Coturnix japonica: one gene and its partners. The protein of the gene in region 2 binds, or shares a complex with, the protein of the main gene of each other region. Links are inferred from orthologs where the notes say so. Each region holds a gene or a part of one and is shown on either strand. Other genes may lie near its edges.

What was found.
Region 1: the proteins of MYBL2 (region 2) and LIN52 are in contact, whole or in part, in a crystal structure (PDB 6C48), measured with the Homo sapiens proteins. The link is inferred for Coturnix japonica from reciprocal best matches to the Homo sapiens genes MYBL2 and LIN52. Residues at the interface, in NP_002457.1 of Homo sapiens: Trp663, Val666, Ala667, Gly669, Thr671, Asp673, Gln674, Phe676, Lys680, Ala681, Gln683, Leu684; in NP_001019845.2 of Homo sapiens: Gln84, Ala87, Tyr88, Gly91, Leu92, Glu94, Ser95, Met98, Thr99, Lys102, Phe103, Leu107, Glu108, Lys109.
Region 3: MYBL2 (region 2) and TFDP2 share a complex: the UniProt entries of both Homo sapiens proteins name them as parts of the DREAM complex. The link is inferred for Coturnix japonica from reciprocal best matches to the Homo sapiens genes MYBL2 and TFDP2.

The regions. Positions count from the first base shown.
Region 1 is NC_029520.1:34,236,807-34,241,946, reverse strand, and holds the start of LIN52 (protein lin-52 homolog), read right to left. Parts: upstream 3,694-5,140; 5' UTR 3,602-3,693; coding exon 3,583-3,601; intron 3,496-3,582; coding exon 3,421-3,495; intron 3,326-3,420; coding exon 3,288-3,325; intron 2,767-3,287; coding exon 2,700-2,766; intron 2,202-2,699; coding exon 2,118-2,201; intron 837-2,117; coding exon of another isoform or gene 823-836; exon of another isoform or gene 306-822; intron 1-305. Other genes in the region: ALDH6A1 (methylmalonate-semialdehyde dehydrogenase [acylating], mitochondrial), read left to right, coding at 3,896-3,946, 4,080-4,139, 4,983-5,057.
Region 2 is NC_029535.1:3,100,776-3,105,477, reverse strand, and holds part of MYBL2 (myb-related protein B), read left to right. Parts: coding exon 1-86; intron 87-1,276; coding exon 1,277-1,497; intron 1,498-1,661; coding exon 1,662-1,818; intron 1,819-2,408; coding exon 2,409-2,678; intron 2,679-3,463; coding exon 3,464-3,850; intron 3,851-4,702. UniProt on the Homo sapiens protein: Transcription factor involved in the regulation of cell survival, proliferation, and differentiation. Transactivates the expression of the CLU gene.
Region 3 is NC_029524.1:8,784,861-8,790,064, forward strand, and holds the start of TFDP2 (transcription factor Dp-2), read right to left. Parts: upstream 3,694-5,204; 5' UTR 3,519-3,693; intron 362-3,518; exon of another isoform or gene 276-361; intron 1-275. UniProt on the Homo sapiens protein: Can stimulate E2F-dependent transcription.

The sequences.
Region 1 (5,140 bases), on a different chromosome or scaffold from region 2:
ACAAGATGCTCTCAGACAGCAGAGTGCTTGCACCCTAAAAGAACTGGTAGAAAAACCCAAATGCTTAAGAGTATATCAGCCTTCCATTGAACCCAGGCAAACTGGAAAAGCAGCTCATATGATTTTAAGAAGGCATATAATTAGGTAATTATTAAATTAATTGAACTGAAATCTGAGCAACAGATTTGACAAAATGTAATTTTAAGAGGTACCAGTCCCACACTTCCTTTAGCCCAATGAATCATAATACAAAATTAACATGAAGGGTGCTATGAATTAGTTCAACAACAGATCTCACAACATAATTACAAAGTCATTAAATAGGTATATTTATGATGGATCATCGTGGTCCAGAACAGCATTATTATCAGTTATTCAGACAAAAACAGAAGCCTTTAAAAATCCAAAGGAATTGAAATGTAGAAGCGGGCACTGGAAAGTAATAAAAATAAAACACTGACACAATAAAGCAGAAATGTTTTCACACAATACAGAGGAAACAAGAAAATAGTGTCAAAAGGACAGTGCAAATTTAGAACACAAGAAGCGTCAAAATAACTCTTGAGACAAATCAGGACAAACTGCACAAAATTAAAAGTATCAAGACCTCTATCAGAAGCTTCATGATGCCATCTAGAGGAGGGTGGTCAGCAAGGTTTCTTAATTCTGTTTTTGATAAGCAGTTTTGATTATCAACTATGTAAAATATAGAATACTGTGTTTCAATACAAAAAGATGTAATCAAATTATATACCACTGAAACAAAAGCACAAGCTCTTTAATATTAATGAGCAGATCTTTGGGATTTTTCTTCTTGTTCTCTTAATAACCTAGGTCTGCAAAGAGAAAAAGACAGTATTGGAAGAAACAGTGCTGAGAGCCCATGTCAAACTCAGCATTTAATTATATATGGAAGATTTCCTAACATACATGTATACGTCATGACACACAAAGCACTCAATGTGTTACAGAGATAGACTTTGGTGAAAATAAATTGCAAATACAGTGAGACGTTATATAAATCGAGAAAGCAAACCACCAGCCAATCTTATTATTTGATTAAGATTTCCATTGTTAAAGTATAACTTCTACTCCACTAAAAGCTTTATTCAATCCTTGTAGATGTTGGCACTGAAAGTAAATTTCTACCTATGGAGAGAGTGTTCAAACAGGCTTAATGATCTATTGATAAGAAATATGTATTCCAGGCTCACAATCACGAGACTTCAAAGTTCAACTGCTTTTTGTTACCCACTGAAATAAAGCTGAAAAAAATCTTTGAGCCTAAAAATTTTCAAAGCCTCATGTAAAGCTCAAGAGTTTGCTAAAACTGAAGTCTAAGACAGAGCAAAATAAAGCAGTAAAAGTTAAATGCATCAGTACACACAGATACTGTTTAAAGGAAGCACAATCCCTTTGGAATCTTCAAAGCCGGATCAGCACATTAACAACAAAATCCTATATGCAATGACAATAAAAAAAACGCATCTTCCCCCCATCCCCACCCCCACTCCCACCCCCACCCCCCTTCAAAAAAGGCACTGACATAAATTGGTTGTTGGTAAGCAGGATGAAGGTCAACTTTAGAATGCAGTGACAGCACCTCCTGCTATAGCTGACTATGGAAAATAAATAACTGCAGAAGCCCAAAGTTACAAGAGCACTAATGGCTAACAGAATCCTGCACACCAGTTACATTTTCACTCTGTAGGCAGTACACAAACGCACAGTCACAGAAGTGGTGGCACAGATACTCTGTGACAGAGTGTTAGCACCTAAGCGGTAAATGAAGCAAACTGAGTGATTTACCTAAGCCAAAGTTAAGTCAGAAATTGATGGGCCACTAGAAAACACTGGACCTTAGCATTCAAAACAGAAAACAAGACCTAAAATAAGAAATTCTTTTAAATGTGCTCTATTAGGCTCCACTGCATCCATGATAGACTTGCTTAGAGCAGCACTCTTTTTTTCTTCAGAAAATTCTCTATTGCACTGTCATAATTGTGTGACATTCCCCACTTCAGCAAACGTACTTTTCTGACTGTAAGTGCAACATAAACACACACTTCAGTGGCAAGATTCATAATACAGTCATCACATCTGTGCACAGAACTCACATTCATCCAGTCCCAGCTGATATGCCAAATTCTGCAGGCCACGAACCTTTTCCATCAGGTTGGCTGTAGTGAGGCTTCCCAGCTCTAAAAGGAAAAAGCGTGATTTTTAACACTGTAGCCCTCTAGTGGCAGCTTATGTTTATCGCTTCACAGAGCATTCAAGTTATACTTTGAACAGTATCGGTTTACAGTGTACAGCATATGTTCTTCAGCTCTCACAACTCATAATAACCAGCAAGACATTCTAACTGTTCCAAAGCAATCAAAAAAAATGAAGAAAAAATAAACAGCAGGGATTTACTGCTTCAAAAAGCAGTAACAAGGAGAACAACAGCATTTTTGTTATCAGTATATATTCTTGTGGGACCAACTAAAGATAGAGGCAATTGACAAGACAAAGACTCCTAAGCAGAATCATTCAACTGGAGATGTTCTGCAGGTTAAGATGGTCTGCAGATTAAGAGGAGCATCCCCCATCCCTTCCTTTCCACAAGGCTTCAGAAGGTCTCTGAGCTCATCTTTTTAGTAGGCACTGAATTCCCACCCGCAGACAGCCTCAGTGCCCATGGAGCCCATACTCACCCTTTAACATATCGATATCATCATTCTCCAGTTCAGCCATCCATTTGGGAGGCGAGCTTGTAATAGGCTGGTTTGGGGGGGAGGAAAAAGAAAAAGAACAAAAAGAAAGGAAGAAAAAAAAGCAAAACATTCTCAGAGAAGTACATTTTTAGCTGCATACAAAGCCTGATATAGCATTTACACACACAGAATTGTAGGGGTTGGAAGGGACCTCTAGAGATCATCGAGTCCAACCCCCCTGCCAAAGCAGGCTCCCTACACCATGTCACACAGGTAGGTGTCCAGGCGGGTCTTGAATATCTCCAAAGAAGGAGACTCCACCACCTCCCTGTGCAGCCTGTTCCAGTGCTCCGTCACCTATTTACAACCAGTTACACTGAAAGAATAAACGCGATGGCTCCAGGCACCCTACAGGGCTACTCTAATGCCTAGAAAGCTCTTCCTGGACGAGTTGGGTGTTACTGCAAGTCACAGCCAAAGCCAGCAGTAAGAGCAGCACCCCCAGGGCTTAGAGCAGCGCGTTCCTGCGCAGCTCGTCCCTCCCGCAGTGCCTGTATGACCCGCAGTGCCGTGGTGTTGGCATCTTACGCTTTTGAAGGAGGCGGCGAACTCGGCGACGCCGGGCACTGCAAGAGAGAACCGAACAGCGCCGGGTGAGCGCGGGGCCGGCCCGGCAGCCCCGCCATCACCCCAGCGACACGGGCCCGCCGCACTCACTCACACTGCTCAGGCCACAGGTCCGGAGAAGCCCGGTCGAGCTTCTCGAAGCTCAGCAGAGAGGCTTCCAGATCGGCACCTACAGCACAGGGAGTAGAACGGAGGTGAAGCGGCGCCCGCTCAGACCGTACCGCAGGGTGACGATGACCCCATTCGCGCGCCTTACCGTCACCGGGAGCCGCCATCTTGCCTGCGTCACGTGACCTAAACCCACAGCCCGCGGGAATCCACCCACGTGACAACAGAGCCCGAGCGCCTTAGTGCTCGTGGCCAATCGCTGCCCCGGATGGGGGGGCGGTGGCGGGAAAGGGGCGGGGCGACGCTCTCCCTGGCAGCGATTGGCTGGCGGCCGGCAAGGCCCCCTCGGGGGGGGCGTACAGCGGGCGGGGGGGGCGCTCGTCTGGCCAATGAGCGGGCGGGGGCGGGTCCCTGTGCTGGGGGCTCCGCTCGGGGTCCGAGCGCTGTGACCCTCGGCCGGGATGGCGGCGGTGGCTCGTGGCGCTTGGGGCGGGCGGCGCGTGGTGCTCAGGGTGAGGCGGCACACGGACACAGCGCTGCGGGAGGGGCCGCGGGTGGCACCTCGGGGGGCGGTGGGGAGGAGGTGGGGGGTGTGGAGGAGGAGGGGAGCACCGTGTAACCGGGCTGCTCTGTGTCCACATCCAGCTGCCGCGGACAGCCGGGGCTCCCTGGATCGCTTCGGCCGCCGTCTCCTCCTCCTCCGTGGTGAGTGGGGCCGGGCAGCTCTGTTTGCTGTTGGGCTGGAGGGGCCCGCGGCGGTGGCTCCGCCGGGCCGAGGAGCAGCTCGGATTTCCTGCTCTCCCTTCAGTTCTGAAGATGGTGTTATCCCGAGTGCAGCCCGCGGCACGGCTCGTCCCGCCGTAACGCCAGCCACATCAGCACTTGTCATGTCTTATTCTTATTTTAACCCACCGCCGCGTTCCTTCACAAGCCGAGGCCTCGCTTATCCATTACACTCTTCGCAGCCGTGACCTGTCCGGCTCAGCCCCATTTATTTTCCTGATTCGTCCTTTGATCCCTCTCCCACCATCACAGCAGCATTAGCATCCCTGCCCTCACCAGGTGAACTGCCCGGTGGATGAGGGAAAGGCTGTTGGCACAGTCTACCTAGACTTCAGCAAAGCCTTTGGCACTATATTCCAATCTCTTCACTTATATGGCCCCAGTTCTTCCTGCATGTTGCAGCACTAACTGCATCTTCTACCCCTGCTTTTTCTTCTCCATACTTACCTGAACTCCTTAACTAATGGGCAGAATTCTTACCAAGTGAATTATTAACTGGTTTCTTTTAAATATGTCTGTGAACTGCAGGGTTTTTATGACTTAGCAATTGTAGTGACTGAGTAGATTAAAATAGTTCTGAACATGATTCTATCAATGTGTATCTTCTGTAATAGTTTTTAGACGGGGTTTTGACAATTTTAGCCTAAATCAAGGGGAAAAAAATGATGGAGTACAGTGGGAAATAGCAAAAGCCTGCACATAACAGGGCACATTGTTATGTGTGCACTTTCAGGGAAAGATCACTCACTGTGCTGTCCTCCACAGCCAACAACTAAACTGTTCATCGATGGGAAGTTTGTCGAGTCCAAAACCACAGAATGGATTGATATCCACAATCCTGTAAGTGAAATGGCTTCTGCTCATATACCCACAATCGGTGTGCAAGAGGATGCTGTGATTTCCTTGAATCACTCGATGAAAGG
Region 2 (4,702 bases):
GTGACCAGCAGTGTCAGTACCGGTGGCTGAGGGTGTTGAATCCAGACTTGGTTAAGGGCCCTTGGACCAAAGAGGAGGACCAAAAGGTAAGTCAGGCAAGGACAGGGTCTGAGCGTTGGACTTTGACTCTCTGTCAACAAAGTGGAGGTGTCAGACCTAGACAGCTTTCTATCTGTGTTACATCAAACACTTCCTGAGGAAGCTTATAACAATGCCCTTCTACCTTCTTACAGCAGAGCAGTTGCTGCCTATTTTCCCCTCTTTATGTCCTGTTCTGCCAGCCAACCTAGTCCTGATGCCCACTGCCATCATGGCCAAGCCAGACTCCAGCTTTTTGAAGCTGGATAGTTTTGCACTGCAAACAATCCAGATCCTTGAACGTGGGTATCTGTGGCCCATTTGTCTGCCCTAGGCAGTCAGTCTGCAATAGGAGTGTTAGTTATGGACCCTGTGAGCAAGATCTGTGGTGCACCTGCTACCTGCACCTTTCAGCTAAGCACTGCTGGAGAGGGTAAAAGTGCTCTTTTGGAGTCATCTGGCCTCCTCTCTGAGATATTGGCAGGATAAACACTGCGAGCAGCATGTTATGTTACATTGCTTTGTTGCATGGATTTATTTCAGGCCAGCCAGAAAAGATTCCCTACCTGGAAGCATTTGCACTGAGCTTTAGGCCAACATGTAAAGGCCCTAGGCGAAGAGGAAATTGCCAAGCAGATGGCTTTTAAGTGAATTTTGCTCATTTTTGCTTTGTGCTTGCACCACGTGTTGTGGCATTAGTGGGGCATGAAACTGCAGGTTGTGTCCTCACCAGGGGCTGTACCCTCTGCTGAAGGATGGCTGTGCCATGCTGTCCCAGCAGGCAGTAATATAGGCACGGTGAAAGCTCTTTTCATGCAGCCAGGTTCTTGGGAAGAGAGGAAGGCAGAGGAGCTTTGAAGCATGTGGTACCTGGTGCTTTGCTCTGACTTGTTCCTCACTGCATCTGCCTGTCTCTGTCCTAGTCTTATGTGAGCCATCATCTACATCCATAGGTGTCAAGTGGTAAAATGGCTGCATGAAAACTGCCTCTTCCAGGCTTTTGGTTGTATTGTTGCTCACGGAAATGTTTTTCACCTGTTGCTGACAGTGTCATGTGTCAGTGCTGGGACCCTCCAGTGTTTTTGACTTATTGGATCCTTCTTTGTCTTCTTGTACCCGGTCCCAACAAAGGTGAAATGCAAAGCAACACCTGTATTGATTGTCTCATTTCCTGATTTCCTTCCTGTTTTCTTCCAAGGTAATTGAACTTGTTAAAAAATATGGCACCAAACAATGGACTCTGATAGCCAAGCACCTGAAAGGACGCTTAGGGAAGCAGTGCCGGGAACGCTGGCATAACCACTTGAATCCTGAGGTTAAGAAATCCTCGTGGACAGAGGAGGAGGATCGCATCATTTTTGAGGCCCACAAGGTTCTGGGGAATCGCTGGGCTGAGATTGCCAAACTGCTGCCTGGGAGGTAGGATGGATGTCTTTGCTCACTGGTACCTTCAGAGCTGGGTGGCTTGTGGAGATCATGTGTTGGTCTCACAGGATGAGGCTGGGGAGCTCACAGGAATTGCTAGCTGTGCTTTAAGGCTGCTGATAATAATAACTTATTGTTTTCTTTTGCTTTCTCTGCAGGACTGACAATGCTGTGAAGAATCACTGGAACTCCACCATCAAGCGCAAAGTGGATACAGGAGGATTCCTCAATGAAACAAAGGAGTCCCAGCCACTGTACTTGCTAGTGGAAGTGGATGACAATGAGAGCCAAAGTGGAACAAGAGCTGGGAGCCAGGTACTGCACAAGTATGTGGGCTGTTGGGTCCATCTCTGCTCTGCTAACGTGCATCAGAGCTGGTCAGTCACCCTGCTACTGCCTCTAATGCTGTCTTTGCATTAACTCAGTTAAATAGTCCTCTTAATTTGTATGGGCTCCTTCAGGTGGTGTATGGGACAGAGCATTGAAGGAGAACAGGGATGTAGGATGGTCCAAATGGCTGTTAGGAAAGTTTTTAATGGGAATGGTTTTAAACTAAGACAGGGGAGGTTTAGGTTGGATATTAGGAGGAAGTTTTTCACCCAGGGGGTGGTGACGCACTGGAACAGGTTGCCCAAGGAGGCTGTGGATGCCCCATCTGTGGAGACATTCAAGGCCAGGCTGGATGTGACGCTGGGCAGCCTGGTCTGGTGGTTGATGACCCTGCATGCAGTAGGGGAGTTAAAACTGGATGATCATTGTGGTCATTTTTAACCCAGGCCATTCTGTGATTCCATGAAAGCGGGAGGAACGTGGTGGGCCCAAGGATCTGTGCTTGTGCCCTTGGACTTGATCTTCTTCACTTGGTTTCTGCTAATGGCTGCGCTTTCTTTCTTGTTTGTGTGAAGACCATTGTGCCAAACTGGCCGGTTGATATCTCTGAAATAAAGGAAGAGGATGTCAGCGATGAGGAGGTGACGGGTTTGCAGGAGTTACCCTCAGAGCTGCCAGCTGCCGACCTGGCTGAGCACAACGGGGAAGGAACCTCAGATGATGTGGTGCCTGAGGATGCCTCAGCATCTGTTGCATCTCCGTACAAGTGGGTCGTCGAAGCTGCCAATTATTTGTGTCCTACATCTGTCCCAGCATTAAATGAAGCTCTGGACATGATTGAATCTGTAAGTAGCACACCTTTGCTCCGCCAGCTAGTGGAGTGAGACTTATAGGACCTGATTTCCACCACTGTTCTGTTGAGTGAGCTCGCTGGGTCACCTTGCTTATCACCACAGGTATCCTGAGGAAAGTTGTATGGATTCCTTTAGTTTAGCCTCCAGATTAATTCATTTTCAGGACACTTTGCAGCCAAAAAGGGGAAATATCTTTGCAATCTGGTTTATGAGCTGATTATCTGTGAAATATTCACACCTGCAAAGAAGGACTTTGTGCCCAAGGCTTAATGTCCAATTTGTGCATCCTTAGAGGCCTGTTTGAATGGTACTTGTATTGATGGGGTTGAGCTGTGAATGGCTCTGGCTATTTTTCATCTGTTTACAGCAACCTGCTTTACAGAATAGCCCTGTGCCCACCCATTTTGGTGTGACCAAGTTTGGCAACAGTCACCTTTTTCATACTCTGTCCCTGGCCACTTCTCTTTTGCCCCCTGTGTTTGGGTGCAGCTGTGTGTTACAGCTGTGCTGTGAACTGAACTGGGAAACCAGCCTAGCGTAAAAACTGCCCTATGCACGAACAGCTTTCAGCTGGATCAGGCTTGTGGTCTGGTTCTCAACTGAGCTGACTGCAAAGGACAGAGAGCTTCAGTTATTCTGTAACCAGGCTCCTTGCAAAAAGCAGCGCAGTCTTGCACACCTGCTTTTTTCACCTCCCAGCTAACCTCTCTGTTTGCACCAGCCAGCTGCCCAGCTTTCTTTCCTGGGCTGGTTCTGATGGCTTCTCTTGTACGCAGGACCCAGATGGATGGTGTGACCTGACCCAATTTGACCTGCCTGAAGAACCCTCTGCAGGCAGCAGCAGCAGTAGTAACAGCCCAGTGCGGCAAACACCCAGCAAACCAACTCCATCCCTACCCAACGTGACTGAGTACCGCCTGGATGGCGACACCATCTCCGACCTGAGCAAGAGCAGCAAGGGGGAACTCATCCCTATTTCACCACATGCGGAGGTGAGCTTTGGCACGCCGCCCTCTGTGCTGAAGAGGCAGAAGAAGAGGAAAATCTCCCTATCCCCTGTCACGGAGAATGCCCCCAGCACCAGCCTCTCCTTCCTTGACTCCTGCAACAGCATGACGCCTAAGAGCACCCCTGTCAAGACACTGCCCTTCTCTCCATCTCAGGTACAGAACAGTGGTGCTGGCCAGCCTGGGCTCCTCCGCTTGGGTTTGTCTGTGAACTAGTAAGCAATGTCAATGCTTTGCCTTAATACTCTAATCTCATAATCTCTGCCACCTTTGTATTTCTTCTCTCTTGTATTAGGCAGTTCCAGTGCATAGGGTATGCATGTGTTTCTGGTAGAACAGGGTGCAGAGTTTGGTTCTGACGCTGCTTGTCTTCAGTGCAGCTCTTTCTGCGAGAGCAGCAGACTGTGATTCCCTCAGCTGGAGTGCTTGCAGCACAGGCCAAGCCCAGTTACCCTGTATGATGGATAAGGCCAAGTGCCTGCTATGAGGAGGGAGCACTGCTGTGCAGATCTGCACCTGCCTACTGCAGGAGAGAGCACAGTGCTTCCTTGTCCAGGGTGCTGTGTGTGGGCATTACTGGCAGGGGATAGCAGTGCTGTGACAGTGCATGTTGCTTTTCTTCCTTATTTTTAGCACTGTCATCTGTGTGGACAGCATCTGCTGGTGCACATCTGTGAGTTGATGGCACAGGGATGTACTCATGGGCCTTGTCTTTGTTATGTAAGCTTAGGTCTTTCCCATCTTTACTATGACTGTGGTAGCATCCATACCTGGTCTCACAACAAATGCCTTACTGCAGTGCTATGGCATTCAGACCCCTTGATTCCTATCTTGACACAGTGAAGTTCTGTCAGTAAGACAGGATAAATCCTGCTGCACTTCTGTGCCATCTAGCAAAACTTCTACAGCTTCTCTGTCATTCACACTCTGCCTCCCTGTGCCACTAGCTGAACCTTCCAGGACTTTATATTTCTGGTGTTTCTGCTGTCCTCGGTGGAACGTGGTAGA
Region 3 (5,204 bases), on a different chromosome or scaffold from region 2:
CTGCTGTAATCAGAGCACAGTTTCAGAGAACAGAAACGTATCCTCAGGTTTCTCAGGCTCAGGTTGATACTTAGGGGAAAAGTTGCCTCGTTCCTTCCAACATATGGAGAACCCCCCACAGCATTTCAGAATTCACTCAGGGACGTAGCTCACTTTAAAATGCAGTTCCTAACCTTACACACAACTGTTGGTCACATTAGTGCTCTTGTAATATAGGCCAGTTAGAACTGTGCCCAGTAATTACAGCTTCTGCTCACATGGGAAGGGTTCTTTACCTGGGAGACCATTCCAGCTCACGGGTGTCCCCACGGGGACCAACCTGCCAGCAGCAGCTGGAGGGAAGTGGAGAAACACGACTTTTCAAACAGAGGAGCACGGCCTGACTTCTGAGAGAAAAAACACTGAGCCATTAGTGTAAGATAACAAAACCTGCAGAAGAGCTGCTATAAATCCAGAAACACAGGAAAAATCAAGCGGCTCTCATTCTAACAATGGATGCTACAAAAAGACAAAGAATCAGAACAGGCAGCTGTTGTAAAACCAACATTCCACTGCTGTATCTGCTCCTTTCTGCACTGCTTCCAAGCATACAGAAGCATGTGCTGAGTTCTTCAAGCCCCACAACAGACATTCACACCATTGGTTTCCATGTCCTATGCACACTGGTTCTGTGCATTGCTCTCCTCTGAACACCTGTCAATTGTGAGCCTGTCTCATTGGCTCCAGTGGCTTTTTGGTTCTGTACACACAACCACCTCCACAAGCACATTTCCTGCACCAGGCCAGACAACTGCCAGCTTATTTTCCCTATTTTACAACCCGCTGTTGGTTCATTAGTAGTTGTGTCCTACGAATACAATTGGAAAAGTAAATGAGAAATTCTTACTCGTTACACCTCCAAGTATGTGCAGAAAAAGCACACAAAGAAAGAAACCTCAGCTTACTGAACCTGCCCGGTACGGGCTGCAGTTTCCCTCCCCTGACCCGGTCAGCTCATTTCAGAGATGAGCACCATGCTCTCCCCAACGCACAGCGAGTTTTGCTGACTTCAAATGACCAACATCACGTGTTCCTGAAGGGGATGGAAAGCTGGAACCACAGTTCCTACTTCTTGCTAAACCCAGTGGAAGGTGCTAAAATACAAAGCCTTATCTTCACTTGGTGGTTGCTCACAGGCAGCTCCAGATGTATAGGAGGCTCCTGCAATACTGTCCAATACACACAAGAACAGGAACAAACCAGGAGTCCTCCTGCAGCAGGAACAGCCCTGCTGTGCTGCTCAGCCTGCTCCTTCACATGGCAGAGCTGTGCTGAGCTGCTGCACACAAGGCACAGCCTCACCACTCTGTGAAGTGAGCCGACCCACTGGAACCCACTAGAGGAACAGCGGCCTTCCCATCAGTGCCGTATGATTTCAGCAACGCTAATTCTATCAACCTCACGCAGGTCAAACAGCTTCTTTTGGTTCTGTTAGCACAGTGATTTCTGTGCAAGCAGGAAGCGGTTACAAGAAGCCCCAACAGCTTGTCTGTAAAATGTGATCAGTCTAACACACAGCCATGAGGTAAACCTACCAATATCTAACAATTAACCACCTTTTCCTCTGTACAGAACTGAACCATTCTCAGAGCCATTACTCTTAGCTCTTCCAGAGGCACCAGGCTCACTGCACAACCATTTCCCAACAAGAATTTATGCTTTTTCTCCCTCTCCTCACCATTTATTTGATGTATGTTCATTTCTGCGACGTGAACTTAAGCTTCCACGTTTCTTTGAAGTGCTGCATCAGGTGCCCAGCAGGTTACTGCAAACACAGGCTCTCAAAATGCAGAATTTGGCTATGTACAAAAATGCCTCCATGCAATACAGAGCACCAGCAAAAACGTCCCGAGATGCTGTTCCACCTCTGTGCTCCAGCAGCAGCCACGGGTCTGCCCCGTGTGAGCACATCACTGCACTCATGGACAAGGTAAAAAGTGCTACAATCAGGAAAACAAGCCTTAATGCAGGCAAAGAAATGGCAAAGCTGTTACTCGTTTCTCTTCTAGTAGCATCAATTTATACAGTCTCTGCCTCTCTCTATGTATATGTTCTGGCTTTTTTTTAATACAAGATCACATCTAGTCGAGATGTGTGCAGTAGATGTGTACAGTACCACAAAAGCAGCTCTGGTTCTGACCTCATTTCTACTGCCTTACAGTACAACTGTGCAGCTGAAAGAAACCAACAGCGAGGAATATTAACAAAGACCCGTGAAAATAACCGAACCCATTTCCAAAATAAAAACACCGGTCGCGTAACCATCGCATCTGAATTTCCCACCCGCCGTGTTGAAGAGTGAGCAAGTCAGTGGGCGCCGCTCCGCACAGACGCGACCACCCGCTTTGTGTCCGCTCACAGCACGGCGGGGCAGGAGGCACAAGGAGCGGAGCAGCACGTGAGGGCGGCACGGAACGGAACGGAACGGCAAAGCACAGCAATGCACGACGCAGCAATGCACGGCACGGCACAGCAATGCACGACGCAGCAATGCACGGCACGGCACGGCACAGCACGGCACGGCACGGCACAGCACAGCAATACACAGCACAGTAATGCACGGCACAGCAATGCACGGCACAGCAATGCACGGCACGGCACAGCACAGCAATACACAGCACAGTAATGCACGGCACAGCAATGCACGGCACAGCAATGCACGGCACAGCAATGCACGGCACAGCAATGCACGGCACAGCAATGCACGGCACGGCACAGCACAGCAATACACAGCACAGTAATGCACGGCACAGCACGGCGCTCCGCAGCCCGTTGCCAGCCCCGCGCTGCGGTTTTCTCCCCCGTTCGGAGTTAGCTCCCTTACGAGCTGTTTTCTTCCCTTTGTCTGCACACCCGGATCCGATCCGCCGCACTCACCCCGCCATTCGCCTCCGCCTTGAAGCCCGTGCGGCCTACGGCGTGCAGGGCAGGCCCTGAGCCCTCAGCCCTCAGCCCTGATCCGGCGGGGCGCGGCGAGCGGCGCTTCCAACTTTTGTCGTGGCGGCCTCGGCGCGTCCCCGGGCACCGCGCGCACCACAACGACCCCCCACAACAACCCCCCCACTCCGCCCCGCCGCCATCGGCACCGCGGCCCGGCCGCTCACACCGGCCCGTCACCGAGAGGCCCCGCGGCACCCTGCGCCGTGTCACGTACCGGCGGAGCCCCAAACACAGCCGGGAGAGCGCGCGGCCAACGCAGGTGTCAGGTCAGCGGCCGCACCGGCACAGACACACACACACACACACACTCACACACCCCGCCTCACGCAGTCACACCCAGGCCGTGGTGCGGTGCAGGCCCTGTCCTTCTCGAGGCGCGTTTGAAGCGCAATCCCCGGCCCGAATGAAGGCGCTGCTGTCCCGGCGGGATCCCGACGCGTGTCTCTCAGGCCCGGGCGGGAGAAGGGAACGAACGCGGCAGCGCCACCGGACCCGGGCGGCGACGCTGAGGCGCCGAGACGCGCCGTCCGCTCACTTACCGGCCGCGGTTCCGCTCCACACGCCGCCGCCTGGCGAGGAGCCCCGCAGCTCGGCCCGGCAGGGACAGGCCGCGAGTCCCGCTCCGTGGCGCCGCGATCGCTGCGCGGCTGCTCCGGCCCGATCCCGCCGCGCTCTGCCCGGCTCCTTCTCCCCCGCACAAGCTTGGCGGCGTCTGCCGGCCGGCCGCTCCCATTGGCCGCCGCCTCGCGCGAGGTCGGGCGCCCTCGGCGCACCATTGGCCGCGCCTGGTGTGTGTACACACGCCGCCAGCCAATCCGAGGAGGCCGCTGCGAGAGGGGGCGGGGCGGAAGGGCGGGGCGCCTCTTCCCAGGCGGCGCCTCAGATGCGTGTGGAGCCGCGACACGGCGGGAACGGGACGGAGCGAGCGGGGCGGGGAGCGGAACGGAGTGCAGGGAAACACAGCACAGCTGGGTGTTACTGATGGACAGGGACGGCAGGGAACAGCCATCGGCACCAGAACAGGGTCCTGAGCTAAGGAGCGAGAGCCGGATGGTTATTGCCGTGGGACGGCTCACAGGCGGTTATTAATCACAGGCCCAGGAATGTGCTGACCGTGCGCTTTCTGTTCTTTATCATTCCCTACGAAACAGTCACACGTAACAAGACCTTTATCAATACCTGCAGTTACGTAAGAAGCTTAAACGAAAGCATTAATAAACCATATGCAAAATGGAGCATTCCCTCACATAGCTGCCAAGGCCCCAAGCAGCTCACAGTCAACACAGCAGGCCGTGCAACGCAGCAGGCCGTGCTGCGGGAAAGGAAGGCAGCAGAACAGAAGCCAGGCAGAGTGCCTGGTTTCCTGCAGTCCTCCTAAGTTCCATGTGCTAAACCCAGATCTGAACTCAAATACTGCCTCAATAAAAAGTCATGTGTGTCTTTAAAACTTCTTTCTAGTTCATTTGGTTATTTTTATGCAGTGCTTACAAAGTTATGTCAGATGCTGTGATTACAAGAAAAAGGCATTTAACCATTGTGGAAAGGAGATGGACGGTGACTGCTGTAGCTGGCATTGGCTTTCAGTGCCTGCAGAACGAGCTGCCTTTGTATGCACACACTGCTCAGCTTGGAGATGCTGAAATGGTCAGTTTGCAGTAAGCACCACTTGTGCATGGTTCTAAACCAACCTGTTACTCCTCAGAACTTAGACACAGCCCAAACTCAGTCTCAGAAGGAGATCCACACTGAACACTGCTGTAACAGGTTCCTTAGCTCTGCAGGGAGTCAGTGATTTCCTGCAGTAAGACCCACACTTCGGAAGCTCTGACGCTGCTCTCTGGTTGGTGGCTCAGCACAACACCGTGTTCCCCATCTGGTTGATACTTTCCAGATCATCTCCCCTTTTCCTTTTCATAACACGTTACTTTGCACTGTTTGCTCATTTCAATGCTTTGTGAGCCCACAACCCATGCTGTAATATCAACACACACCCATAACCCCCACAGCCCACATTTCTCCTGAAGAATGAGCTCAACTTGTCCGTCTCGCTGTAAAACCTCAAACTAAAATGTGGCCCAACCTCTGGGTTGACATACTCCGACCTGCAGTTTGTCTGAAGAGGAAGCGACATCTTTGCCTGTACCTCTGGGTCTGGAACGGTAAGAGAGAAAAAACACAACAAAAAGAACGTTTAAAAAACCTATCCTTATTTCATGCCCCACTGA